4 linked regions of the Oreochromis niloticus genome follow. The protein of the gene in region 3 purifies or fractionates together with the protein of the main gene of each other region. This does not show direct contact. Links are inferred from orthologs where the notes say so. Each region holds a gene or a part of one and is shown on either strand. Other genes may lie near its edges. The genes, in order: mtmr3, calcoco1a, aurka and ppp6r3.

The links.
Region 1: the proteins of aurka (region 3) and mtmr3 purify together in Homo sapiens (affinity purification with mass spectrometry; 3 studies listed by BioGRID and IntAct, counting the BioPlex papers as one, with this or other methods). This does not show direct contact. The link is inferred for Oreochromis niloticus from reciprocal best matches to the Homo sapiens genes AURKA and MTMR3.
Region 2: the proteins of aurka (region 3) and calcoco1a purify together in Homo sapiens (affinity purification with mass spectrometry; 3 studies listed by BioGRID and IntAct, counting the BioPlex papers as one, with this or other methods). This does not show direct contact. The link is inferred for Oreochromis niloticus from reciprocal best matches to the Homo sapiens genes AURKA and CALCOCO1.
Region 4: the proteins of aurka (region 3) and ppp6r3 purify together in Homo sapiens (affinity purification with mass spectrometry; 6 studies listed by BioGRID and IntAct, counting the BioPlex papers as one, with this or other methods). This does not show direct contact. The link is inferred for Oreochromis niloticus from reciprocal best matches to the Homo sapiens genes AURKA and PPP6R3.

Annotation. Positions count from the first base shown.
Region 1 is NC_031977.2:6,305,263-6,312,258, forward strand, and holds the start of mtmr3 (phosphatidylinositol-3,5-bisphosphate 3-phosphatase MTMR3), read right to left. Parts: upstream 3,016-6,996; 5' UTR 2,899-3,015; intron 831-2,898; 5' UTR 755-830; intron 1-754. Other genes in the region: cux2b (homeobox protein cut-like 2), read right to left, coding at 6,926-6,996. UniProt on the Homo sapiens protein: Lipid phosphatase that specifically dephosphorylates the D-3 position of phosphatidylinositol 3-phosphate and phosphatidylinositol 3,5-bisphosphate, generating phosphatidylinositol and phosphatidylinositol 5-phosphate.
Region 2 is NC_031984.2:19,325,579-19,333,286, reverse strand, and holds the start of calcoco1a (calcium-binding and coiled-coil domain-containing protein 1), read right to left. Parts: upstream 3,009-7,708; 5' UTR 2,802-3,008; intron 1,705-2,801; 5' UTR 1,676-1,704; coding exon 1,544-1,675; intron 1,454-1,543; coding exon 1,351-1,453; intron 566-1,350; exon of another isoform or gene 476-565; intron 1-475. UniProt on the Homo sapiens protein: Functions as a coactivator for aryl hydrocarbon and nuclear receptors (NR). Recruited to promoters through its contact with the N-terminal basic helix-loop-helix-Per-Arnt-Sim (PAS) domain of transcription factors or coactivators, such as NCOA2.
Region 3 is NC_031970.2:6,634,067-6,641,057, reverse strand, and holds the start of aurka (aurora kinase A), read left to right. Parts: upstream 1-3,966; 5' UTR 3,967-4,313; intron 4,314-4,734; 5' UTR 4,735-4,737; coding exon 4,738-4,800; intron 4,801-6,090; coding exon 6,091-6,430; intron 6,431-6,516; coding exon 6,517-6,559; intron 6,560-6,659; coding exon 6,660-6,851; intron 6,852-6,991. Other genes in the region: prelid3b (PRELI domain containing protein 3B), read left to right, coding at 284-400. UniProt on the Homo sapiens protein: Mitotic serine/threonine kinase that contributes to the regulation of cell cycle progression.
Region 4 is NC_031972.2:39,401,044-39,408,394, forward strand, and holds the start of ppp6r3 (serine/threonine-protein phosphatase 6 regulatory subunit 3), read right to left. Parts: upstream 3,018-7,351; 5' UTR 2,806-3,017; intron 2,755-2,805; exon of another isoform or gene 2,623-2,754; intron 1-2,622. Other genes in the region: ric8a (chaperone Ric-8A), read left to right, coding at 4,981-5,073.

The sequences.
Region 1 (6,996 bases), on a different chromosome or scaffold from region 3:
CAATGTCCCTAGCAAGAATTTAATTGTCATTTAGGGACACTATGAAACTGCCATTTTACCAGAAGAGAATGCATCCACAATTACGTTTGCAATTCAGTTCAACATGCATTTAATCATTTAAACCAGAAACCCTCACCTTTGCCCACATACAACCCAGGTTCTTGGTGGTGTGGGTGTGCTAGAAATAAACTGAAATCCACTTTTAAGGTTTCAAACCTTGTTCTTGAAGCTGGCACCGGCCTGGTATGTAAATACATGTTTGTGCGGACGCCAGGGTGGTTGAGGGGTTAAGACACCAACCACAAACTACAATATCCCCAGTTCGACTCCAGACCAGATCTCTCATCTCTGACCAACCTCATTTCTCTGCTGACATGAACAGACTAACAGCATTTTCTACATAAATTTTAAGTGTTTCTGTTAGCATTAGAAAGCATGTGAGCATATTTTCAAGTTTACACGTATAAAAGTAGTAGTAGTAGTAGTAGTAGAAGCAGAAGCGAGAGGGAAAAAAAAAAAAAAAAAAAAGGAGTGGCTCATAATACGTTAATGAGGCTGTACATGAGCACCTGGATGCACAAATGCCTTTCCCATGCAGTGTGTCCAGGCATTGAGAAGACTGTAAATGATGATCAACTATGATATGTTGGGCAGTCAGAAAAATGGCAGTATGGGGGAAATCCAATGGTTGGATTTACATGGTTAAAATTTAAGAAAATGAACAAAATGTGAAAACACAGATTTTTAGACTTACCACAAACAATCACTAATGGATGATAGGCAGACCTGATGATCCTGTGTGGAAACTCTCACAAGTAAGACATGGAAATCTGTGGAAATGAAAGTGAATAATGAGAAAATGCTTCTCCTTACTGAGGCACACAAGCTACAGAAGCTCTTTTGATTCACTGGCAAATATAGATGCCCTGGTGGTCACAGTGGCTTGCATGTGAGCTCAGATACCACTTAAAACTGTACTGCAGACTGGAAAATAAGCCAGCTGGTTCTCCGAGCCTACAGTTTAGCTTGCATAAAGACATGGTTCAGTCACGTGAATTGATCGGCTAATGTTCACCTTCAAAAAAAAATAAACAATTATGTGCACAATACATATTTAAGAACATACAGTCACATTTTGAGGTTCTTAAAGGGTAGTGAAAGACATCAGAAATGCTAGTGTTCAATGAATTGTGCTTTGTGGTTCAACTACCCAACAATGGTTGGTAATTTGCCCAAATGGTTGGCCAAGCAGAGCCAAAGACCTTGCAGGACTTGTCCAGTGGCTGACTGGTTTTAAGTTCCTACCCAGGTTGCCCTTGAAAGAGCAAAAGAAATGCAACTTATCAAGAACAGTAAAAGCAGCAGCAGCTTTGTTGGTCAGATCATGCAAACCATCTATACAGAGCTTTTTCTTACATTCCATTATCGATATCCTCTAACATCACTTTTCAAAAGGCAACCTGTTAGGATCTCTCAGCAAACAGGCCCACAAGTAGTTGTAAAGGTCAGCTACGCTTGCAAAGACTGAAATTTGATCTAAGAGGGTCAGTGGAGGGGCAGCTCAGGAGACCAACACACCTTCTCAGGAACATTTAAGCAGCCTGGAGACAGAAAAAAGACAAAATATCCCGCTGTACTGCCAGAAGCATCTCCGGTCATTGAGAGAGAGTTGTGAAGGAGGCAAACGAGGTCATTACTTCACTGAGAGCAGAGGCCAACTTTTACTGCTGCTGCTACCTGATAAAGCATATCTGCCCAACACACGGCTCTGTTTACTGCAGCCCGCTCGTGACCCGTGGCTACGGCTCAGTCTGGCTCTCAGTTCAGCAGTCACACAGAAAAGTCTAAGCCCCTTAGAGCCTTAACCTTACTCCTATCCCGTGACAGGCCAGTAATTTTCACAAGTGGTAACATTATCGACACTCTAGCGTCTAAATGATATAAGGAAAAAACAAGAAACGAGACAATGAACCAACACGGTTGACAGCGGAGCTTTGCGTTCACAGCTGGGTAGCCATACTGAACAGCGCCGCTAAAAAGTGTATAAACGCAAAAGCCTCGGCTAACTTCGTATTTGGGGAAAAAGGATTTCCCAGCTCAATTTTAACACTTTGTCGTTACCTTTTACTTCACTAGGGCGAATAAAACGTAAACTGGACTTAATTAATCACCAGTTAATGTTATTTCAGCTAGTTAGTATTCGATGTAAAGATACCGGTAGTTTTGGCCACTAAAAAAAATAAGCTACGGTCAACCCCAAAACAAATGCTTCTCGCAAGTGCTCTGCAACGTTACATTAACACGTTGCTAGTTGACGAAAAACCGTTTGCAAGGGTGGAAAAGAAAATAGCTAACGCTTCTTGTACTAGCAGGTTGTTAAGTCAAGTAACTCCTCTTTCGTTATTTCCTTTTTTTTTTTTTGAATAGCGGTTAGCTAGTTTTTCTGCAGCTATGTAATGTAAACTGTTGGCTAACCAGTGTTCATCAACAACCACTCGACAGCGTAAAATAATGCTAGCGAGCTAACGCTCAGTCGAAGAGCTATTTACATGCAAACAGTGGAAATTAACATTTGCTGGCAGGCAGTGAACTGTTGTGCAGCGGTCTTTTAACACTCGACGTTTGGCATTAAAAGCCATGACACAGAGCAGCGCGTAGACCTGCTAGCTAGCACTAGCTGGTTAGGCTGAAGCTGCTTTCTGCAACTGTTTTTGTTGTTATGAGATGGAGGGCGGACCCCAGAGCGGAGGCCTCTGTCAAAACACACCGAGCAACGACTACAACCGGCGGACTCACCAGTCAAACGAGTGCTGAGGTGTTAGACGACAAAGACTCATCCGAAACTTGTGCAATTACCAAACATTAAAACAACGTGTCCAACATGAACATGAATCATACCAGAGCCGAGGCCAGCTTCACTGCGTCCCTTTCCAACACCGAGCCGTCGTCGCCATCGCCGCGAACTCTCCCGTCTAAAGAGCTCTACGTGTGAGTGACGTCATCGCGTCAGAGTGGTTCTCTGGAAAAGGGGAGGGGCTCAGCCACACGGTAAGTCATGTAAACACTGGCAAGTGGGCTGCCTGATAAATTAATATTACAACAGCTTTAAAACGTTTTTTCCTTTTCCTTTTTTGTATTCAGGTAGAAATGCGATCTCAAGTATCATCGATTTTCAAACGCCTTATAAGCAGACAGAGTACATCTAATTAAACAAATGGGACACTATATTATATATACTCATTTTACACACTAAGGTAAAATATGTAGTTATATATCTGATTGGTGAATGAAATTAGAAGTCAGATGTTTGAACTCAATGACATTTAGTCATCAGTGACATTCATTCAGTCTGAAGAAATCCAAAACCATTATTCTTATTCCAAGAGGTTCATATTAATGAATGTAATAGTGAGTCATTTTCCTAAATAAATAAACATTCAGTCTACTTTGTTTGACTGGCTTTTCTTTGAAAATCCAGTGGTGTTTATTGTCATATTTATAATATCCACAATTGCCCAAGTATCACTGCTTAATGTAGTGGACATGAATGACCCTGAATTCAATAGGAAAGATGAAGTGTTTCCTTCACTGAAAGACTGCCAGAGAAGAGTGCGATGTGAAAATGATTACACTTAAAAATAGTTAGGGATGCACGCTACAGTGTAATATTTTATATATCCACATGAATTTGCAGTAACTTTTGTATGTTAATGTGTGGAGCACTCTTTGCTCATCATAAAGAAATAAAAACACAACACAACAGGATCTTAAACAATTATGTATTGACTGATGGCTTACACAGCCTATGCAATTTCATTTCCAAGATGCTTGGCATACCATTGTCCATTCTTTAACATTTAATAGCCTGACGTGAGGCATCAGACAGTTATCTAAGCCTGAAGGATGCTTCTTTCGATTGGCCCACAGCTGACTTATAAATGACAACTTCCCTTGGTGACAAACTCTTGGTGCCAGATTTTTTTTTTTTTTATATAAGCAAATCTTAATGCATTCATTCAAGTTTTGCCAATCAATCAGTTTCTCCATTATTTAGTGACTGAAGTCAGTTATAAAATTAAAACATCTACTGTGTAGGGCTATTGTGATATAGAAAAAGCTTTGCTGTTTTCTGAACTTACAAAAAGCCCTACACCCCTCTCGGATCAGACTTCACCACAAGGCATTTCTCCATGAGGATAATGCATGGGGCATGTGATATGGCACAAAATAAATCTGGAAGTATAACGTTTGTAGGGCCAGTCTCAGGTTCTGATTTGACTGTAATCTTGACAAGTTTGTGAGAGCAAATTTCTCAGCTGCACCATGCGTGGACTTCCCTAATGCAAAAAGACTTCAAGTGCTGATTCAATGTCCCTGTGCAAGAACAATAACACAAAAACAGTCTATCCCTTGTTGTGTGAGCAGAATGGATTTGCATGCAAAACAATGAGATGAGCTTTACATGAAGAGATAATGGTCTGGGTAAATACATTTCATTTTCAGTCATATGTCCATGTTACCTTGAGAAACAATGAAGCTTTCACATAAGAAATGCCACTTCTAATCATACAGTATATTATGCACAAAATATGATGGTAAGAAAACCAGAGAGAAATCTTCTGTGGCTCCAAGAAAAAAACAAAACAAAACAAAACAAACAAACAAAAAAAAACCAAACAGTATTTCCAAGAGCAAAGTCTACTGATCTAAAAAATGCAACCCATTTAGCCTCATCCTGGTGGTTCCGCTCGACACTGTACTTTGACACATCCATGTAATGAATTACAAAACAGCCACGACTTTCCAACAATCCGCTTTTTTTCCCCTCCGTGTGAGTGTCGAAAATCCCATAATCATACAACTTCCACATGTTCGTCGAATATTTAATGGAGTCATTCTCCACGTCACATAGTTTTCATATTCAACACCACTGATGAGAGCAACTGTTTCAATAAAGCTTTAAAAAGCAAGACTACCCTGAGAGAAGGTCTAAAACGTGGGCAAGCTTGCCAGACCAGAACTGGCTTGAATGGGTTTGGTTTATTAAATCTGTACACTCTATTTCAATATAATCAGCACATTTTTGTTCCAAGAATGTAAGATAGTATTTTTTTTTAGTAATTGTGTAATATATATCTCTACATAATACAATCCAAGTCCTCTGAACTATGTAGACATGTGCAAGTGTTCACTACCAACTTCAACGATACAGTAAAGGCAAAGACTTGTGGACACTAAGTTAGGATAATGTTGATATTTGAAATTTTTCTTGAGTCCTCACAATTATCAAAAAAATCTAAGTGCTGTAAGTACTTCATACACGAGGTATTGAATATCTAGTTAACTGTTCTGAGTATAAAATAGAGGCAAAATACATAAAGAACATCTTGCAAGCATGACAAAGAAACGTCTACAGACACAATACACACGTGGTCAAAGATAATATGAGGGGATACCTGTAACCTTTTGTGTTCTTGAATATAGCATACTTACAGACTGATGAGAGGTCACACTGTACGTATCATGCTTTTAAACACTGGGAACTTCAGCCTCAAAGTAGATCAACGCAGAGCAGGGGTGGCCTAGCTAAACAGCATCTCTGTGCTTGAGGTGTTTTGTTCCGTATCATTTACAGTAAAACGCAGATTTTCAGAATGTGCAATCAATCAGGTGTTACTCCATAACACATACAAAGGGACGAACAGCAGCAGATTTATCTCGTAACCCCCCAGCCCCCCAATCGCCACCACCACTCGCTTCATTGTTTGACCCTCTGAGGCGTGAGCTCGCACCCGAAGCATGATACGCCAGCGCCTTCCCTCCGTCGGTCCAAACAAGTGTGCGTCGTGTTTATGCAAAAGAATGGAACGCATGGTCGTCGCATGATGTGCATCAACATAATCTGAGGTAAACTGGGTGTCCTGTGTCTTGGCCCGTTACAGTCTGAGAACCAGTGCCTTAGAGAGTCAGAGAGGTAAGTCTGAAAGAAATCGTGTAAACTGTGCTCGTGCGAAGTGACTGTTGCACTCACTACCAAAAGCACAAGGGCCCTAAACTGTAAACCTCGAGGATTATTCAAAGCAAACTAAAGAAACCAAAAACACTTCAAAAGTACTCTACTCATTAGGTTTAACATTTCCTTTTTTTTCTCGTTTTTTGCAGGGTTTTCAACTTTTTTCTTTTTTCTCGTGTTTTCGCTCAAGTATAATCACAGGTGACTAACTACAGAGGATAAACAGGGTCAGGTGAGTACCATGCTACATCAGGTTTAGAGAAGGCTATTGCAGACAATTCTACAACATGTACAACCACATTTTATACGAGTGAGTTACAAATATTTCAAAACATATCACCAGGAAACTAAGTACATACAAGATGTTGAATATTTAGAGTCTTAAAGGACTATCCCTCAGTCAGTAATAGGATTTCATGTTACTTGACTTAAACTGTCCAGTCTTACAGACAAAATCTGAAAAATTGCTATTCAAAAAGTAGCAAATTTGGTCAGTGTCTCTTTTCAAATAGTTATAGTGCTTTTAATGGCTTAAGACAGGGGTCTTCTTTTAATCTCACCCAGTGGCAATCTACAGAACTTCAGTGTACATTTGATGACACCATAGCTGCAAAAGTCTTCATGTCAAGTCCAATAAGTAAAACGACAGCTAGTGCTGTCACATATATTTCAAAGTAGTATGCATTATCAAAAGGAAAAAAACAAACAAACTAATACACATTTATAAATTTTTTTTCAACTCTCAAGTTCTTGTAGGGAATTCAACCGTATGATTAGCTCCGTGTTCCCATTTCCTGTGAGTTATCGTTCTTGGAGGACAGGCCTTCAGGAGCCACGCTCCATTTAAAGACGTCAGGAAGCTTCTGAGACTCTCCTGTGTGGCGCAAAGGTTTGGATACACCTAAAGTGGACTTAAAACTCCCATTCCAGAGTCTCTTCTCGATTGGCTGCTCTCTCTAACCTGTGGATGATGTTATTGAGGT
Region 2 (7,708 bases), on a different chromosome or scaffold from region 3:
ATATCCTTTATGAATCGATGTAAAAACTATCGTTGACAGTAAAAATGTCTTCTTCAAAAGAGAGCTGGCCAAGAGGGCAGGAGAAATTGCAACAAATATAACATAACAGATCTATAAAGATATTTTAAGTGGCCCAAAAGGACTGGATTGATTAAAATGTAGAGCACAGAGTGGGTACGATAATGCTGAGTTAAAAGACACTTGCAGAACAGGTCATTTCTTTATTTTGTACGTAACCACTTCATAAATCCTGTTGACTACAGCCTATCTACCAATATAAGCAAAGATATTAGTCATAAAAACACATCAGCAATCACTGTTTGGCATAAGAATGTCTCTCATAAAGTTGAAGGCTTACAAATTTTGAGAGCAAAATAACTGCTTTTCAGACCAGCTGTGCTACTTGCATAACTTTAAGACTTTCACTATCACCAAACTCCTGATTCTGTTTCCTTTTCATGCACCTTTAACCAAGCATACTGGAACTGATGAGGATACACCTCCTGCCTCCCACACTGACCACAAAGCAGTCAGCCTTAGTCTGTGACTCCTTCCAGCCTATAAAGTAAGCTGATCTAATATCATTATCTCACACAGACCATTGCTTCATGTTTGGAGTGATTTACTTAGAATTACTGTTTCACAATACAGCTACAGTAAAGGGCCAAGATAGAAAACAGACAGAGGGAATGACATACGGTAAAGTTTATGAGCTGTATTTCAACTTCGAGCACCGGCTAAGGTCACAGAAGAGGCGACCTTCTTTTTAAATCACTGCATTGCTGCTGATAAGGAACCATCAGTACTTTCTTTAGTTTCCTTTCTCTGTACTGAAGAATGACATTGACAGTATGTTTAAGTTAGCGATAAATCACTTTACCAGGGGTCAATGCCACACCTGCTGTACACGTGCCCCTCACCCTCAATCAGGCTTATCAGCTGCCCCTGACACACAGGACAAAGTGAACACTGTATTCTCCAGTGAGCAGCAGCAGTCAGCAGAGCAGCCTTTGGGCCATTGTCTTTGTCATCCTCATTACTCAACCTCCTGCTTACTAAAGAAATGAATTCAAACCATGACAGAGAGTGTCTCTGTTAGAAACCAAGCTAAGTTAGATATTTGTCTTGTGCACAGGATTTTTCCCCCTTTTTTCTGCTGAAGAATTATTTTAAGATAGAAATAAACATTTGCTTCCACTCAGTATGTGATTCGCTAGCATTTTGTAAATAACAGAGCAATTCATTTTACAGAGGCATCAATCTCCTGCTGAAGGTTTTATGTGCTGATCTAGTACAGATCCTGTGTGACTATGGGAAGTAAACACAGTTAGAAAACAAATGTATGAATACCCTGAAACTGAACACAGCAGTTGACATCTGTGCCCTCTTGGTAGTCAGCCGGGGCTAGCGCCCATACAAAGGTGTGGTAGTCCTTTACTGATGTCCATCCCTCCTGAAGAAGAAAATGTGTGCACAGTGTTAACTTTAAGTTGGATATTATTTATTTAGTTGCTTTTCGAGAAATTCATCAGAATAGCAATACCTTGAAGAGCCCTATCCAATCATTACTGGCCCATATGTGCCGTGAGCTCAGCGTGTAGTGGCAGTCGACTCTGCTCTCAGGAAAGTAGCTGCAGCCCACGTTTCTAAACTCCACCTGCCAATCCTTATCCATGGCAACACAAAACAAATGCTCTATTGCACCTACAAGAAAGAAAAGAAGGAAAAAAAAAACAAACCCAAAATCAACCTACAAACCAACATGCACAGTTACATTACACATTACATTACACAGCTATTTCTGGGATATAGGTAAGAGGTGGTCACTGCTGAACAAACAAGAGGCCCCAAGTGTGTGAATATTTTTGTTCAGTGTAAGATCTAGACTGAGTGCACACTTAAGGAAACAGCACCGATGCAGAACTAATCCTCAGTGACAGCATGGTCTTCAGGCAACACGACACGTTACACAGGTTGTCACCGGGGGCTATTTCAGTCATCTTCAAAATCATTTGCTATTATACAGCGTCACGTGTAGGCATGCAGTATATGGGCTCAGATTCCACTAGTGGTTACTTCCCACGAACTTGTGGTATCCCTGCAGTTAACCACACTGCTTGCCTACAGAAAGCATTATTTTTGTGTGTGGCGTAATAACTATGGTATAGGCAACATTTATGATGTGATGGTACACTGTTACACAAACAAGGTGAAACACATGGTAAATATACATTTTAATAGAGCAGTAGAGACAAGTATGATGAGATTTTCAAAAGGAACAAAAATAAAGCAAGCGCACAATAAACCCAATGAGGATTTACAACAAGCATGTTCTTTAAACTTGGATTAACTTTGACTCTTCTGTACTTTGTATTTATCCCCTGTGGTACAGTCAATAATCACAGATGATAAAAGTTTTCTATTTTTTGTGAAACACCCAAAACCTACATAAGGTACGAATAGTTTCTCATGTAAATACGGACAAGATAAAATACAGACAGTGCGTAAAACAATGCACCAGTGATCAAAATAGCTTTTCCGTGGACTCGTTTTACATGGCACGAGGCTTAAGGCCCAACAGTAGCACATGTCAAGAAAACAGTGTGTCATGCCCGTCGATGAAAGCTTTAAGATGACAAACAAACAATCACAGCCACTACGGAAAGACCTGAATCCGTGCACGTTAGTTATATTTGTTAATTTGATGGGAATGCAAATAATAAGAGACAATGCAGGGCTTTGTTAACTACCAAAAGAGATCTGCGCACATTATCTCGACCCGTTTCTGATGTCTTTGTTACCTTTACGGTCCTCAGCCCTCTGCAGACGATCTAAAGGAGCCCTCTATGTGCGAGGTACTGGACTGACAGTCCTCAAGAAACCCACGAAAAAACACGGCCGATGCAGACTCGCTTTCCTCACGGAGCTCAGCTGGACCAACAACGCGAAATAACAACAAAAAAGCCAAAGCAAAACACAAGCACGACAGCTTCTTCTGCACCGTGGAATTATGGGAGCTGTTGTTCACAACGTAGCTGAAACTACGCCGAGATACCCCTTTTTAAACTACAACCCCCAGGGTCACAGTAGACTAACAGATCCGCTGAATGTAATCTGACGCGTCTCATCGGCCGCCGTTGTTTTTCGCATCGGATATCTGCCAAACCGCGGCTGTCCTGCTCATTCACCAATGGAAAGAGTGTGTGTTATTTGCGATGAGAGGAAGACACACGTAGCGGATGTAATAATGAAAACGGATGTTTTTATGTGTAGTGATTGTTCGAGTTCATAAATATTTGCTATATTGCGCTGTAAACAAATCTGCGCATTATTTTCCATACAGTTGGTAGACTTCGCAATATGACGGTTATTTAATTTGATGGTAAAGTATTACAGGTTGTATAGTTTTTGCCTATTTATTTTAGTTTTAAATCAGTGTCCCACGGGAGCCTTTTCCACTTCATGTATCATCTGTACTTTGATGAGGTAAATCAGGAACCACAGCAGATCCTCTGACGTCAGCCCACGTTCCAGATTTAATGGAGGGGAATTCGGATTTTAGCCAAAAACATTTTCCAAAATAATCCAGTGATCCTGCATTTTGGAAGCGCCCCAATTTGGCAATTTCTTTAGGATAAGCCTGATATCCCACAACGTCTTCAAACATGAGGACAAATAGAGCGCATGACGAGGTTACAGTGCCGGGCAGCAGATGGCAGTATACCATCTTGAAAACCAAAATTAAACATGCAAGTCTAAGCAGACAGTGCGGTCTTTTAAGCCCACAATGAAAATATATCACAGCCTTTTTGTCCTTTCACTATTAGATACAAGATAAAGGGGGATACACTGTCTCTCTATGCTGCAAATTTTAAAAACAAAGCCTGGGTTCACCATCTCTAGCTTTGCCTTAATTCATAGATTTCATTTTGCAGATATATCAGAAGAGAAATGCAAATATGGCTGTGCAGATATGTCTCAAGGCTACAGTAGTAGTATTGTCTATCTGGGTTCACAATGTGTTATTTTGATATTTTTAATTAAAAAAAACATTAAAATACTGGTTTTAGTTGAACTGATTATATTAAATGATTTAAATTTAAATTAGAGTTAAAATGGCAAAGAAGTCTTTAACTGCAAAAAGCCATCAATAACAAAAACCTATTTAACAGAAATGGAAATTAAAAGTTAGCATTCTCTATTAAAGGTTATTAGTCCTCCACAACCACAAGTTAAATAATGCTCAGCCTGTATTATTATAGTTATTGATGTTACCTCATTGCCCATAGCCAGCCTATTTATCTCTGCTCATTGATGAGACACTCCAGTCACACAATACTTTACTCCTCCTCAATTAGTAAGTCCAGTTTGGCTAATTTAGTCTGTTGACGACACTATAAGGATGCTTCATGTAATTTTATGCCGACGGACAGTCAATGCTGAGACCCTATAAATTGTGTTTAAGTGGATTAATAGTGTGCTGAGCCTGTGTGAGCAAAGTGGTGATGGAAATAGTGGCTCGCTCTCACAGTGGGATAATTAAATAGGTTCTACTGTGATGACTGGCTTATTCAGTAGCCACTGTTTACATGCGTCTTTAGGCTTAGGTATTATTTAAAAAAAAGATTTCTTCTGTTGTATTCATCAACATAATTCAGTGTGGATGTCTTGCTTTTGCCATTTTTTAAAATCACGAGTTCCCTGGAACACAGAAAAATCAGATATACCAAAAATACTAGCATAAGTATTGTTTATGAATTAATCCTATATGCTTATTTCTACTGGCTTTGTGCCACTGTATTTTTTATTTTATTTTATTTTATTTTATTTTATTTTATTTTATTTTATTTTATTTTACTTTATTTTATGATAGTGTTGTGTCTGATTTCACATAGCCTTGACTTTGAAGCGTCATTGTTGTGTAAAATTAGAAGACGGTTGTGCAGTAGGAATGTGAAGGCTTCACCATAATAGAGACTAGACTTAAAGTGGATTGTCCATGAAACTGCTTGATCTTGACCTGGCTGCCTGCTGTTATGGCTCCTCTGCCTATCATAACATCCCACCTCTACCCTGCAAACTTGCGCACACATGCAGTTATGCTGACCGTGTGAATTTACAGCTCTTTTTTGTTTTTTGGAAGGAGATAGCTAACATTCACACTTCGAGGCGTTAGGTTGGGGGAAAAAATAGTGTTCTGGCACAAAACTTTCAACATGTTGTTTATTTATCTGTTGTGGAAGTACTCCACACAAATTTAATCCCTGTCATCTGCTGATTTCTAGCAGCTTGGCTTGGAATTTCTCTCAATGCTAGAAAATGGTATAGCCCCTGAGTGCTACTGCAGTTTTATTACCTGAGGTGGTTTGTCTGAATATAGCTTACCACATGTCTCATTCAAAGGGAATGGCAGGTATGTGTCACTAGTCATAAATTGCAACTAGCCTTCAGCAGTAATCAGTTGCCAAGGAAACCTCAAATGGGATTATGACCTTCTGTTGTGTATAGCCAAGCAAATTGTTAGAGTTGTCAAGATCCAAGAGACAAACATTAAAGATTTATGTCAGTAAACAATTTATTTTCTCATCATACTAAGTTAATGGGTAACGTGTCTTGCGTGGGAATAAAACCGAGAATATAAGTTGGCGGCATTTTTTTTTTTTCTGGCTGGGTATTATTTAAAACTATACGGGCAGTTTTGACTTTAATAATGGTAGTTACTGTGTTTTGTAGTGATGTTTGCTTGTTTTAAGATATAGTCAAAGAAAGGCATTACAAGGTAGAAAACAAAGAAAGAAGAGCGGAAGCAGAGTGCCTAGAAGGAGGGTAGAGTGTTGGGAGGGTGGAGGTAGAGAAATGGGGGACAGTGGTATTTAGTATGCACGGCCAAGCTGCCCCATCTGCTTAGCGCAGCAGTCCCTGTCGTATAACTGTCTGCAGGCCGTGGGCCACATAAAGAATGTCTCAGATTTGATGTAATTCCGCAAAATTAATGACAGCTTTACTCGGTATGGGCCGTGAGGGAATGATTAGTGTTTGATCGTCCATCTGATCAGTTCCCTTGGCTGGCTGCAGAGAGATGCTCCACTATATGCCGGTATGTTGCCTATGGCAAGCACACATGCACACGCAGATACACCTATCCCAGATAATTCCTGGGCCCCCATGTTGTAGTTTATGTTTAGGTTCTGGTTCGCGTTTCCCTCAACAAAAACATCCAATATCTTGTAAAATTCTCTGTGCTGTGACACTTCACATCAATGTGAACACCTACTGATGTGCTGGATGCAGGTCCCACTGGTAATGTGAATGTGCACAGGGCACTTTTATATTAGGCTGTGCGGTATTTCAAAGAAAAGTGGGCCAACCAGCATCCAATTTAGAGAACTCGGAGGTCACACTATGACCTTTTACAAGATATGCTTTACTGCAGCTGTGATTGGAATTGGGTATTAGTTTTTAAAAGGGATGGTGAGTGGATTGGGAATTTGAGAGAGAAAAAAAATTGATCCATTGGATGGATTGCTGGAGTTGGACAAGTGGAATACCTCTCGTCGTTTTAATTCAGCCCCACCTCAGTGTTCCCAACCCCCATCTCTTTCCTCCTCTTGGGCTGCTGCGTTTACAAGCGAAGGGGGCATTCTGTTTTACAAGTGAGCCTGGTGCGTCTCGGTGTGCTAGCAACATTAAAATTGAACTCGTCTTATCTGTGCAAACCGCGAGGCTTTACATCATAGGCTGACGTGCTACTGCCATGAGGCCCCACTGTGCTTTTATGTAATGTGGTGCAGTCAAAAACCCAGTGGACAATTAAAGTGAGCTGATAGATAAAGAAGTGATTGAAGACCAGAATCTTAGTTTGTGGAATGCCCTGTGTGTTGGGGGGAGGGACACTTTAGTGGTTTATTATTGTTAACAAGGCAGAGTCCAACACATGACATGCATCTCTTGGCCAGATCAAGATACAGCATCTCACGTAGACAGACTGAACTGGAGACACGGTTTTCAGAGTTGCACCTATTTTTTTGCTGAGTTGCATATGCCAAAGCTAATTTCCCATCTGACCATTAGTACTCTGGTCAAGTCCAAAGCATGGAGAGCCTAATTCAGCAAAGGCTTGGGGAGGGTTGTTTCTGCCAACACAGATTGTTGGACAGATTGGCAGTCCTTCACTGTGTGTTGATGCAGTACTTTTCCCTCAAATTGTGCACAATTATAACAAATCACTTGCAAAAACACCATTAAAGTAAACAAAAACTTGTTCCAGTTCAATTGCAATTCCGTTCATTATCCTCTCAGTTTTCTCCTTCCTCAGTACTTTAGAGTTTTTGTCCTTCCTTCCATGACACTCTTTCCAAATTATTTGAACATGTTTCCTCCTGCTTGGGTTCCCCCCTTCCCTGTCGGCATTCTCTAATCTCCTTTCATTTTGCTCTTTTTCTTGGCCCACTCTTCCTCCCCCACTGCTTTCTTTTTCTCCTCCTCATTTTATATTTTTGGCTGAGCTGAGGACCTTTCCTGGTGCAGTGACCTTTCTGGTTTTAAATTAAGCCCCACTGCGGCACGTCTCTCTTCATAGATCGCCAGTTACGAGCCTTCAGAGAACCGCAAAAAAATAACGATTCTGATGAAATGGCCCCTTTAAAAAGCTCTTCCAAATTCCTTTTACATTTTTCTTTGCCTCTTCCCCCCTTTCTGGTTGCATTAA
Region 3 (6,991 bases):
TATAGCCATTGCAAATCGCAAGAAAAGAAGGGAGATGATAACTGTTACGTTGGGGCAGTAGCAGCAGATTTGTGGCGTTTCACTTGTACATCCAAAATCCACTTGTGTGGAAAAATCTTTAAAAACTACGAGATGACTAGTCAACAGCTTAACGTTCTCTCCAGACCAGTCGCTGCATGAAGTGGGTTTACGTGTTTCAGGCACGCCGTCTTTTCTGTTCTTGTATTCTACTTGATGCAACTCATTTTCCCGCGGACTAACGTTTCACTTTGTTCTCGAACAGGGCCGTGAAGCCGTGGAGTGGGTTATCAGGCGACTGAATACAGAAATCGAGGAGCTGGCAGCCACAGCACGTGGGACCATACGCACCCCAATGGCTGCTGCGGTCACAGAGAAATGACACCCTACTCTGGTGTTCAGTTGAGTCTCAGATTGGACTGCACAGCAGTACAGCCAGCCTCCTTCTATGATGCTCTGGTCCTGTTTGGTGCTTTGGGGATTTTTGTATTATTTAAGGGTACAATTTAGGCATGTTGTGTACTTTTACCAGTTATGTTCTAAGCCGGAGACTGCTGCCTAAAGGAGGTCTGAGTGTTTTCTAGCGATGCGGCCTGGCGGGACTGCTTTGATAGGGCGCTGAAAAGTTGGTGGCTCACTCAGGGAGATTTAAACACTACTGCCATTTGTATCTTTGAAAAAAGGTGCAATGTGGATGGACTGGAAACACAAGAAATGTGCCAATGCAGACGCTGCTTTTTGTCTTTACAAATGCCTTCTCCAGGTGTGTTTTCATCTGGCAGAAATGTGTCAGAATGCCAGCACATCGTCTCTGGTCTGAGCTTCACGTTTACAGCAGAAGAGTCGGAAAGAAAAACAGTTCATGGTGAGACGTATAGGAGTGACTGTAACAAATGCGTACACTGAGAAATGATGGCTGATATTAGCCATGGAGGTCAAGCGCACCGAATGTCACAAATGCATGCAAGCAGGTCAGATTAAACGGTTTGGGTTATCCACAGTGATCACAGTAAGGTTTATTTGTGTAAGAGAGCCACTTCAACACTGTTTTCCTATGGGACCTCAGTTACAACAACAGACTGTAATAGGTACGAATGAAAGCCTGATACTAAACTGTACTGATGTAATGTAATAACTTATGTTATTGAGGTATTTAAGTTGAAATGAAGGGATCAAAGTACTTGCCATATTTATACTTTTAAAAATGTATAGTAGACCTTCTCAAATGCTGCTTTAATGTAACATAAGCATGAATCTGTTTACTGTGTAGAAACAAGGGTCAGACTTCTTTTTACATACTAAACCTGAGGTTGTTTCAACTGAAGTAGTTTTATCAGCACGTACATAATCCTGTAAGCATGATCACTGAGTGCAGGGGCCGAAAGCTTCACACTTATTACCAGTAAAAGCTGCTACACGTGCTAAGCGAGCATTTTGATAAAACTGTTTCAGTGGATACCCTGTGTTTGAGATAGTCTCATAGTGGGAATCTGTGTGGCGATGGTAAACGCACAACTTTCTGTACATAAGATATTTATTAATATATATATTTTTTTACCTATGCCAGGAATATTTATTTTTGAAAAAAGAACAATTTGGCAGAGTAAACTATGAGTTTGGTTGATTTTTAAAGGCAAAATCACATGTTCACCTTGTAATTTGTTTTCTGAATGGGTTATTGTGTAAAAGATTCTCACCAAATGCAGAATGTGTCAATAAAATATTTGAACCCGTTTTATTTAAGAGCTTTTGTCAGATATTCTTTCTTGTTTTTCAGCTTTAATAAATGTGAAGACGCTCTTGATTGTGTCAAAATAACCTGACCTGATTGTCTTTGATGGTTTCAGTCAAGAGACAGTCACTTATTTTATACATCTGAACTGTCAGCTGGAAGCAATGGTTGTATATTTGAAACACAGAGGGAGTTACCTGACATAAACCAGAAACGCTGCACATTTGACAGGATGCTTGAAGTTCTGACTTCATCATGCAGGCGCCACATGCTGCCACATAGTGGACAAATGTCACAGTTACAATTTCTGTGAAAAAATTAAGGAAATGAAATGTTGCTAATTAAAAAGAATTATTTAAAATGTTTGTGGAAGAGGAAATGATTCATATTTTATATATTTTGGGTGACATATTTATACAGGATTTTTGACATTATAAAAATGCAGAACCCCAAGTCAGACTCATTTATTTTGAACCAGTGTATGAGCAGCTCTGTTACATATCTGGTATGAAAAAGTACACAATAATAAAAAAGCAAATACAGTTCAAAGAAGCATGGGCCTTATGGTAAAGGCCGGCTCAATTTTTTTGATCGATAGATTTTTACATATTATTTTCCAGTATACATTGTTTTCTTGTTGTTGTTCTCCCTTTATAATTTATTACTTTTTATTCTAATTAAGCATATAAATACATAAATAGCATATAAACAGCTCTTCAGTTAAATTTGGAATAAACATAGATAGTTTATTCTCAGTTTTGTCCTTACAAAAGGTGATGCACACCCAAAATGGCATCACCACTGCAGGTGCATGGTGCACTTTGGCGTCACTTTGGCTTGTCTTGCAGACCTGATTACTGCAATAAATCCTATTTAACTTGGGCTGACCTAACTTCACACCCACCACATCTGCATGCCCCTGCTCTTTTATTTACAGATACTTCCAGGGACATGGTGAGATTTCTTTCAATACATTTTCTGGCCAGTTAGCTCCTATTGGTTAGATAGTTAATAGTCACTGAAGTGCAACAGTGATACTGAAGAATGTAAGCTGCCCTTGCACAACCAGTTGCATGAAGAAAATAAAATTCTCATAATCTCTTTGAAAACAGAGAAAATGTCCTTATCGTCTGTGTTTGAGTCATTAGCACAATTCAATAAAACACCACAAATGGGAAAGAAGTTCTTTTTTTAATCCACAAAAATCACAACAGTATCCTATGATTATTCTGAATCTCTTGGAAGCCTGTTTTGTTGGATATATCTGACCCTACTGTACTGATAAAACTGGATTTATCACCACGTAATTAGATTAATTACCCACCAAGAGATGCCCAAAGATATCTTGCAAAAGGAAATCACTTTTCCTTAATTAATATTTACTTCTCCCTGGATGTAGTTTCTCGTATATTAATAATACACATCTTAGCAAAGGTTTGAAGACCATGTAATTAAAAAAATTCCACGTAGTTTTCTAATAAATCATTTGCTGCTTGGTTATATAAGCCTTTAGTTTGTGTAATAATTATCCGTGAGGGTGTCAGAAGTTGTTTTTCTTACATTTTCCAGCCAAAGTTTTAAAACTAGCAAAAACAAAAAGAAACATAAAATAAATAAAAGACTTTATATATAGTTTAGAGTAATTTAGACAACACAAACAAATAAAAGGAGGGCTCTAAACTCGCTTTATAATTTGCTGTTGATTATGAAAATTGCATTTTTTATTTACTTAAGCATTGCATTTATTCCTTATGTGTTGCTGATTTAACTATTTTCTTTTTAAAGAAAATCGTTCAATAACAATAATAATAATAATAATATAAAGACAAATAAATGCGTTTTGTAATTTCTGATCTACTGGGAATCAAAAATAATAAATTTAAAGAGATTTAAAAAGCGATATCATTGATAGTAATAAAAAGAAAGACAATACTATGAAACTATAAATAACTCTTGTTTTTCTGAGTTTATATTTGGGAAGAAACTTTTTTTTCAAGCAGCTGAAGTAATAATAAAGTCATTAAGTGTAATAGCATGTGGTGTGGAAGATTTCCTGTACTGACAGTGTCTGTGGACTGCCCCCTAGTGTTTTGGAAGATTCACTTCGACTTTAGTACGTCACGCTCCACCGGCCGCCGCGTGTAGCCTCAGCCAATGGAGAGTGAGTACTGAGCATTCCCTCAGCCAATAGCAGCCTGTGTTGTATTTAAAGGTTTTAAACCGAGGGCCGTTTGAAATTAAACAAGCAGTCTTCGGAGAGTTAGCCAATCTCAGTCAGTCTCTGTACTGCTACAGCTTTGTGCTTCGACTTTATTGTTTTATTAGCACTCATGTAGTATTTTTTAGACAAAAGAAGTGATACTAAGGTAGACTGGTCGATAAAGACTCGTCGTAACATCTCCGTGGATAGTCCTTATGTTTGTAGCGAGCCACAAACGCCAGCTGTGGTCTACTGGCCGACGTAGCTGTTAGCTAGCCTCCCTTGGAGCTGTTTTCGACCCGTTTATGTTCTAGAAAAATTATCGATTAGCGTTGAATCGGGTCATTGCAATAATATATTTAGGTAAGTGGTTTTATACAACTAGCTTGTTGAAAAAGTTGATGTTTTGGTGTGGATGCAAATTTAACTTTACCTGATCGGCAACAACGTGACGTTGATGGCTACTGTTAATCTTCCTGACAGAATAAACATTGTAAATTGTATATACGTGTTTAAACAGTTATCTCAGACACGAATACAAGAGCGTCTATATCCAAATAGGATTGTTGTTATTGGGTTTTGTTTTTTGTTTTAGTTAGAAGAAATGTCTGTGAAGGTTCTCGGTCATCCAGGTCATCGTAGTCTAAGGAGGTTGGAAGAGACTCTTAGCTAGAAGAAACGTGGCAGACTAAAGAGTTAAACAAACTGCATGTTTTTCTTCATTCCTATCATTTTTTTAACCCTTTCTTTGATTAAAACCTGTCTCCGTTTACTTCTTTATTAGATTATGGACTCTACTGCTATGCACAAGATGCCAAAAGGCACGAAACTTCAAAGGCCTGAAATTAAGGTAACTCATCATAAACCCGGAGCTGGTTGAAAATTTAATTAAATGTGTGTTTTTGTTTTTTAAATATCCTTGATTACTGTGTATGGCATTAGATTTGCGCTTCCAGGCATACCAGTGTCTTTTCTATATGGCTTATTAAGAAGATCTAGTGTATATAGAGACTCGGCATATGCATCACCAAAAATGGAGCTAAGAGAGAATTGACCCACAAAGTTGGATGGGTGAAAAGGACCATGGCCAAAACTAAGCACTTGTATGTGATCATAGGAGTACGATCCACTGATCCCAACTATGGATAGGATTTTAATTGAGGATGGGATTAAAACAGAATTGGTGTTTGTTAATTTAGATAACCTTGTCTTTTGAGGTAAAAGGTAAATGCTGTTGTTAAAACTTGTTTTTTTTTTTTTCAGATTAGGTAACTCACAAAGGTAAACAGATTTCAAGGTTTCAGATTTTTAGAGTTAATCATGCCTTGTTTTCATCCTGACTCCCAGCTGCAGCAGCCTTTTTTTCAGGTGACAGTCTGTCACTATTTCCCTGACTGCAACTGGTCCAAAACGCTGCAGCTTGACTTTTAACTGACATACGCAAGACAGACCACATGTCATTTTTAAGGCGTTGCATGCGTTTGCACCTTCTTGCCTCCATTTAACTTTGGGTACTTCCATCAGATCACTGAGATCTGCTTAGCAGGTTCTCCTAGATTAAAACAGAGCTGATCAGGTTTTTGCTCCTAAATTGTTGAACAAACTGCATCTGCACATCTGGACCCCTCCAGCATTAGACATTTTCAAAACCTGTTTTCATCCTTGGCTTTTAACTCTAATTGGATTACTTTTTCTCAATCCTGCTTTACTCATGTTCTCATTTTTTTTCTTTTTAAAATCTATTTTCTTTTTATTATTTATGTATTTTATCCATCCAGTTATACAGGATGGTAGCCAGCAGTTATTTTTTTAAATGAGCTTATAAATAAACTAAACTGACCATATTGACTACACCACAAAGGGCATTGTTAATCCTGATAATATGAGCAGAATTGGTGACCTTAAATTGGACGTTGGTGAGAGCATATGGTTGTCTCTGTCTCTGTTAGCCATGCGACACACCAGCGACCTGTCCAGGGTGTGCTCAGTGAGAGACTGGGTCGGATAGATGGTTAAGAAAATTAAGAAATCAATTTCAAATTACAATTATTTCAAGGTATATCTAATTTATGATACTTTCAAAAAATAAAAAGCTTGAAGCTTTTTTTTTATTATTGTTGTTTATCTTGTTTGTTTGCAGTCAACCAGTGATGGGCCCAAGCGGATTCCTGTATTGCAGCAGTCACAGCCCATTCAGAAGGCTGTAGTCACACCAACACCGCATCAGCGGGTTCTAGGTGTATCAAATGGACCTCAGCGCATTCAGAGGCCTGTGAGTCATCAGAAACCAGTGTCAAACCTGCCCGTTACTGTCAAGTCCACACACCCTGCTGATCAGAATGTGAACCCCGCTACTCAGAATGTAAATGCAGCAACACAGCTCAAACCCAGCACCCAGCAAAACCAGCCGAAAACGCAAGCTCCTAAACCAAACCTGACCAAACCCCAGTCGGAACCACAAAAGCCAGAGAAGCCACAGGGTAAGTGTAATACTAAACTGGGAAAACAATGGTGTTTGTGTCTGTGTTTTGGGTGCTAAAATGTATCCTCCTCTTTCTTTGTCCAGACAAACCTGCCAAGAACGATCATGCACAAACTTCTACATCAAAGTATGTTTAAGAGTGGTTCTTTGTCTCATCCATATACTTTTATGACAGGTTACAGTTTATGTCGCTCTTGCTGTAACCGTGTGCTGTTCTGCTCACACAGGACACGGTGGAGTCTGGAAAATTTTGACATTGGTCGTCCTTTGGGAAAGGGGAAGTTCGGGAATGTTTACCTGGCCAGGGAGCGACAGACTAAGTTCATCCTGGCCCTGAAGGTGCTCTTCAAAAAGCAACTGGAGAAGGCTGGGGTGGAGCACCAGCTGAGGAGAGAAGTGGAGATCCAGTCTCACCTCAGGTAACATCTGTCGAATTATATTTTACTGTTAATTGTAATTAACTGCTCCCCAGACTCACGTTTCTCAAACTGTGGTGAGTAGACCCACTGCAGGCAAACTACAGATAAGGGAAAAGAGGTGGGGTCAAACTGAAGTGACT
Region 4 (7,351 bases), on a different chromosome or scaffold from region 3:
TTATTGCGACACCACGAAACAAACGATAGCTTAATATGAAACGATAGATGTTTTCATATTGTCATCCGATATATATGGTTATATTGAACAGCCCTAGCATGTATGTAAAATTAATATTACACTCCTCTTTTGTATGCATGTTTCTACTTGGATTTCTACTTTATTATTATAGTCAGCAGCATTTAGAAGTGCTTACATAACTTAAAGGCTTTAAGAATGCCCCGCCCAACATTTGGATCAGATATTCATCTCATCCTGACTCAAAAAGCTGGACTGGATAGTGGTGACAACCTCCTGATACATTTTACATTGTTCTGTGTTTACTACACACTGGTTGCTGCAGAGAGCTATCATAACGTGGAGAATGCCAACAGGAAAGACCTAGCATTTTGGAGACATTGTACTCCTGCTACACAGATTTTCTTTGCATGTTTGGAATAGTTGTTTTTTTGTTTTATTTAAGTGTTTTTAAAATTAAACAGTGGTCAAGTGAGTCAAAGAGACAATGTCAATGATGTATCACTAGCCCACCTAAGGCCCAAGATGACTCCCAGCTGAGGCTAACCAGCTGGCATTAAACACCAATAATAAGAAACTTACAATAACCTACATGCATTTAGAAATACCACACATACAAAGAGCTCAAAGAGTGACCTTTCTTTAAAGAACAAAAAGGCACAAGTTCTCACTTATTACTATTTTAACTGTTCAACTTATATCCATCCAATGATGTCTGTTAATATAACAGACATCATTGAAAAATAAACTCCCCAGTCTCTTTCTCATCACCAACTGGGTATGCAGACGTGCATCTAGGCTAACATGACTCTACTACTTAATCTGTTCCTCATAATTAGAACTAGGCAATAAAACCAATTAATTATTATGCAAAAACTTTTTAATAGCATTATAAAACATGGTCATTATAAAGGTGACAGCTTATTCCATCCACGTTTTGACAGACAACATGAAAAGGCAATGACAATGACTGAAGTGCTGCTATTGGCTGGAATTAAACTAAGCTGCAAATTCCTGGTTTTTCCCATGTTAAGAATGTGTGTAGTACAAATACTCTGAAGGAAATGCTCTTATTTGTACACGTTTTTCAGTTTCTGTTGTTAAACAACTTCAGTAACATGCAATAGAAATATGAAAAAGTGACAAACAATACCCATCAAGACCAATGTAAATACCCTTTATTTTCAAGCCATCTTTCAGTCCACTTCTCTTCAATGCTAGAGCCCTGACTTAATGATATGATTATGATGTCTGATTAAATCCCTGTGAAAATGTGTTAAAGTCTTAGCTTTTCTGTGATTTCATCTATATTCACATAAGTTTGAAGTTACATTAAACTAAAGCTTCTTGTTAGCAACTATTCTGAATATTTGTTGTTGACACTCTTGAGATGTGTGCCAGTTCCGTACATTACTGTACATTACTGAGAGGTATTAATCCATTCCCATTTCTTTTTATTTTGCTTTCAAGGAGGTAAACCTTCTCTTAATTTTTAAACCAGCTTTGAGCTGTACTTCTCCAGATAAATCGCTTAGCAAAGACCTCATTTAAAATTGTATGCATCTTTAAACACTTTGTGACTAGCAGCCTCTCATCATTTGCCCTATTCATTGATTTCCCACCTAAAAGTTCTTCTAATTACCAGTTCTGTACCACAGACAACCTATAATCACAAGCTCACCCACTGTACAAAGCACCTTCCTACTTATATTCAGAACAGTGACTTGTTACTAAGAGACTGTAGCAACTGCGTGTGATAAACATACAGGATACCGGCTGCTGTGAATCCCAAACTACTTTGGCAAATCAAGTGTGGCTAGACATCTGGATGCCGATTATATTTCTGCTATTATGAATTTTGTGTTAACTCAGCAATGCAGCTGACACATCAACTACACCACACTCACACTATAAAACGCCTGTATTTTGATAAAACTATCACTCCCAAAAACAGTTTAACATACGCCAGAGACCGAAAATAATAAAAATACCGTAGGCACATAAACATTACGAGCCCGTAATAAAATCAATCTAAATACCAACTCTACCTACATTTCAGGCCTATGTAGTGCAACTATACACATGCAATAAGATATCACATTTTAGTTGGGTGGTAATACATAATATTCACCCAGAATCACCTGGTTCATCTGGGCTTGACTATCAGTTCCGAACCAACAGACTGAGCGGTTTAAAAAAATATTATTTCCTTAAGCATGTGTAAAGGCAGTCATTCAACGCAATCGTTATTGGTTGTATTTCATTTCAGCTAACCAACATTCGAACGCAAAGTTAACATTTCTCAAAAACACAACGGCCCAGTTAGATACGGTTAGCTTTCATTTCGGCTAAACACGAGTCAAAATAGTAGCCCTTTTTAATTCACGTCATTACCCTTTCGTTTACATCCTAAGGCCCAAACCTATCTACCACTAACGGTGCAGGCGTTAAAGACAACACACCGGTACAAGGAACGTCACTAGCTATTGTTAGCTAACCCAGTACTATCGAACTCAACCAGTTACCTAATATATGTCACATATGAGGGTAATATTAACTGGCTGACAGGTTTGACAAAAAAATAAAAGTATGATTCCGAGGTACCTTAAAATAATGTGCCATGTTAACGTTAGCCTCCTCTTAGCTTGAAAAACCACAGTCTGACAGCGCAGTGATAAGATGGCCAAGTATGCTCTTTGCTAGCCAGCTAACGTTAGCCGGCTATCTAAAGACTGCTGGCTAATCGTCTCTTCAGCACCAAGTGTATGAGCTTGCAATTGTACCTACCAATAGACAAGGGTAAACACCAACTCTCCAGCATGTAGCTTATCTTAACATTAGCGTCGGACCTTAGCGATACTAAGACAGAGCTAAGATTAAATTTTGGTAAGGAAAATAAAGCCTTTAAAACTGTTTCTAACAGGCGCGAAAATGTAGATCTTCGGAGGGCACTTTTCAAGATGGCGGTTCCGTCAACTTCATCGACCCCTTCCCCCACTCCAGCTGCAATGTTTGTCAATCAAACGATTTCCGCAAAACTATTGGTTGTGAATCCCGTCGCTCAAACAAGGCCGTAAGCTTTTATTGGATATAGTGCGTGTCTCGTCAAGACGTCATTTACACAGAGTATGTGTATAGTGTCCCGGAAGAACGGGGTTTATACTGTTTATCGAATTTTAAGCAAAACAGTTAGACTCATGTGGTAACACAACAAATTGAAGGTTTAATGTAGTGTAATTCATCTAATTGATAACTATATTTGGGTAAACTGCGGGTAATATAAAACCTTCACCCCGCACGCACGTTTGCTTTGAATTTTAAATCGAGCACACTAAGTAGCGTACAAGCACGCCCACGTCTCGTTCAAGAAACGCCCAGTTGAGGGCGGTAGTGTAAAGAGCGCAGACCCTCGTTACCTAAAGCGAACGTGTGTTTATCTTATCTTTTAGGTATGTGTTAGTGTAATTTTATTTACATGGCGACAGTTAACGACAACAGTAACCTCAAAAACGCTTTATAATGTCAGTTTAAATGGTATATCAGAGAATGACATATGAGCAGCACTTGATAATGTGCTATTATCATGTGTTATTAAATTGAATTATCAGTGAAAAGAAGATTCTGCTCAACTTTCAGTTCACTGGACTAGCTACAGGAGAGAGCACCGAACTTCTCAAGTTGCTTGTTGCTGCCACATTAGTGAGGACTGTGGAACAGCTCAGAGTCAGTTTGATACTGATCAAACTTTTGCAGCTGATCAAACACACAAACCCACACATGTGCAATAAGACTGCTATATGTGCAATTCTTCTTCTGACGAAGTTGTGTTTTTGTATTTTCCTACTCAGTTGTATATAGTATTTGTATTTGTATTTTATTCTATTGTATATATTATTCTATTCTATTTTATTCTGTTGTACATAGTATTTTATTTTATTTTATTTTATTTTATTTTATTGCATTCCAGTGTTTTCTAATTTCTGCTACATAACTTTGCACTTTTGCTGTAACAAAACAAATTTCCCACCTGTGGGACTAATAAAGGCCATCTTATCTTATCTTATCTTATCTTATCTTATATTGAATTCATTTTTTTCTCACGTTTGCACTGACTTGCTCACTATCGCTCAGTTTACCGGTTGGAAAATCTTGCACACATACACCGTTTGTCTTTTTAAAGGATGATCGAAACTTTTGGGCTTTCTAAAATGGCATCAGTGATACATCAACTTAAAATAAAATGTATGTGGAATTCATTCTCAGTTGTTTTGTGGCTTCAAAAAGGGTTATATTATTAAAGCACTGCAAATTCCTCAAGAATAATTCATAATAAATATCACTGGTTCAAATTTGATTTTCACTTCTTTCTTTTTCTTCTTTTTACTGAAACCTCACTAACTATGGGGACATCCAACAGCGTCGTTGATGGCTTACTTTATGTTGCAATTAATTGCAACAATTTTGAGCCAGCACACTGAGCTTCGATTTGATGAAAGAATAGTTACTGAAAGATGTTTCAGTCTCACCAACCCGCATTTCTCTAACGTGTGCCGCACTTCACAGTTTCACTTCAAGCTGAAGGCCTCCAATACTGCTTTTAGAAACTCTGATGAACACCACAAGCAGCCCGCAGTCTGAGAGAGGAGCGTTCTTTTACAGTCGTTAGACTATGCATATATAGTGATGTCTAATATTGCTCTTAACGTTTCTTGTGATCCACATCCTCACTTGTTTTTTCCATTTACAAAAATTTAATCACAAATTTTATTTCTCCCGTCTTTTCTTGGGACTCTAAACGCAGCACTTGGCTGGCACAAATCCCCGTTCGCTAATCGCTTCTCATCAGATCTTCGGGATTCAGACGTCATGCTTTCATCCGTCAGAGGTAACGGAGCATAACGTGAATCCGCAGTCCAGGGAACAAACATACAGACATCAGCAGCAGCAGCAGCTAGCTCAGTGATGATGAACATGGATTTAAGTGCCGTTATAGAGGAGATGGAGACGGGCGACCAAGACTCGGCTCTGACGGCTTTACAGAGCTACAACAAGCAGGTAAACACCAGCCCTGCAACATCGGGAGGAATCAGTGCGTTGTAACACAGCTGTTTGAGTTTATGAAATGCTTTCCATTCAGATGATGATCCTGAAATAATTTCCAAATCAGAACTGTTTTCAAAAGTAGAGCCTTTAATATATTAAACGGGGTTTAAAGCTGCATTGTACACCTTATAAATAGCCTATACGATATTGTGTATTGAGCCACCCCTTCTTCTTCTTCATGTTTTGCTTTCACGGAGCCAGATTTCCTCGTAATTTTTAAAGGGATATTAAGCAACAGTTCTCAAGGAGTTCTCGGGGTCTTTCAAAGTTCTTCTTTGGACATTCGCTGCTTTTCACTCATTTTCAGCCCAGTCCTTGTACCTGACAGATTTTTGACCTGACAGCAATGTGTTTTTGATGGTTAAGCAACTGAGCACTGACCTATGAGTCATTCAAGCTTAAAAAACATCTAACTAAAGGGATGAACCAGTACTGTGTCTGGAATTAAAGAGAACTTAAAGATCCAAATATAAATTGTGTCGCTAGGAACTTTGTTACAAATAACACATTCCCGTTTCTTTAGCCGATTCTATAAACATGACACATACCTGAGAGATGCATCTGACCCTTGATCCATCTACTGTTCACCAAAGAAATGGTCTCAGTGGAAAGGTGGCTGTCAACAACGCATTCTTACACCAAACTACACAAAAACTGGTGTGAAAATCAGTAGCAACAGGTCTTATTGAGTGATGAATCCAAAGTAGATATCTTTGGTTCCAATCATTGCCAGTGTGTATGGAGGATGTCAGGGCTGCAACAAGGGTACAGTGAGTGTCTATAGTCACTGGTAAAATATGGAGGAGGCATGTCATGATTTGGGGCTCATTTCAGCCAGTGGTGCTGGAGATCTTGTCAAAATTCATGTAATTATGAATGCAAAAAATCCACAGTGCAATACCATCTGGAAAGTGTGCGATAGTGGCTTAATTTTTCACTTTTTCAATGATAAAGCGAATATGCTGACAATGCAGTAAAGGCATACCTGGATAGAAGACACACTGAAATGCCGTCACAAATTTCACTGGATGTGGATTGGCCTCCCAGGAGCCTGGACCTCAACATTATTCAAGTATTGCTGGATCTGCTGTTGGTGCTGGGAAATTGGTAGAACCACCCATATCATAAATTACCTAAATGACTTAATAAATAATAAATGAATATTAGATAGGATAAAACATGCTTTATTTATCCCAAAGTTGAGACATTCATTGCACCAAAATAATAATTTTAATAATAATAATGATGTGGCATAAGTTGACAGTAAGTGTAATTTATTTAGCTGCCTATTAATTCCCTCTTTACCCTTTGAACTTCTGTGGTAGTTTAGTTCCAAGTATTATTATGTGATCACCAACATGCAAAGAGTTGAGCCTGACACAGTCTGAATTGCAGGCAAGTCAGTTTCATAATGTGGTAGAAAATCAGAAAGAAATGTAGAAAGAAAAGAGAGAAATATTTGTTTTTGAAAATAATTATTTTTAATTAATGCGAGCCACTGATTGTAAAAATAGAAATGGGAAATGCAAGTTAGTTTTGTCACAAATATCTACATCCATTGCATCCATTTTCTGCCACTAATCCAGGTTTGTGTCACTAGGCCAGAAAAAAAAGCCCAGACGTCCCTCTCCTCAGCCAGCCACAGTTTATCCAGGGGGACACCAAAGCCTTCCTTAGCCAGTCAAGACATATAATCTCCCCAACATTTCCAGGGCCTTTGTTCTGAGATTAAATCCTCATTTTCTTGGAGAATCTGACATATACATATCTCGTAACTCAGGCCATCTAGAGAGGTTTCTTTATTTCACTGTGCTCTTTCAGTTTTTATAACATGTGTGATTTCCTTGTAACTCTGATACACCTTGGGAAGGAGTCAGTGTCAGGACACTGAAGAGTAATGGGAAAGAGCGCTGTGGGAGTTTTTAAATTAATGTAATTAATGGATTCATCGCTTAGATACAGAGAAAAAAAAGAGGACAGAGAAGCAGAAGCAGTTACTCGAAGATAATGAGCTCACGTTTAAGATCAGTGCTGAGGTACATCCAGTAAAATGTCAAAGATTTCAGCTGCAATGTTTAGTGATATTACAGATATTTTATTTCTATTTTAAATTCAAGCTTATCATAACACATTATACTACTTCCCTTAAACCATAAGCTTACTCTAAGACTGATGATATTTAATCATATTTTTTCTATAAATCTCAGGATTATCATTACTTTTTAGATTA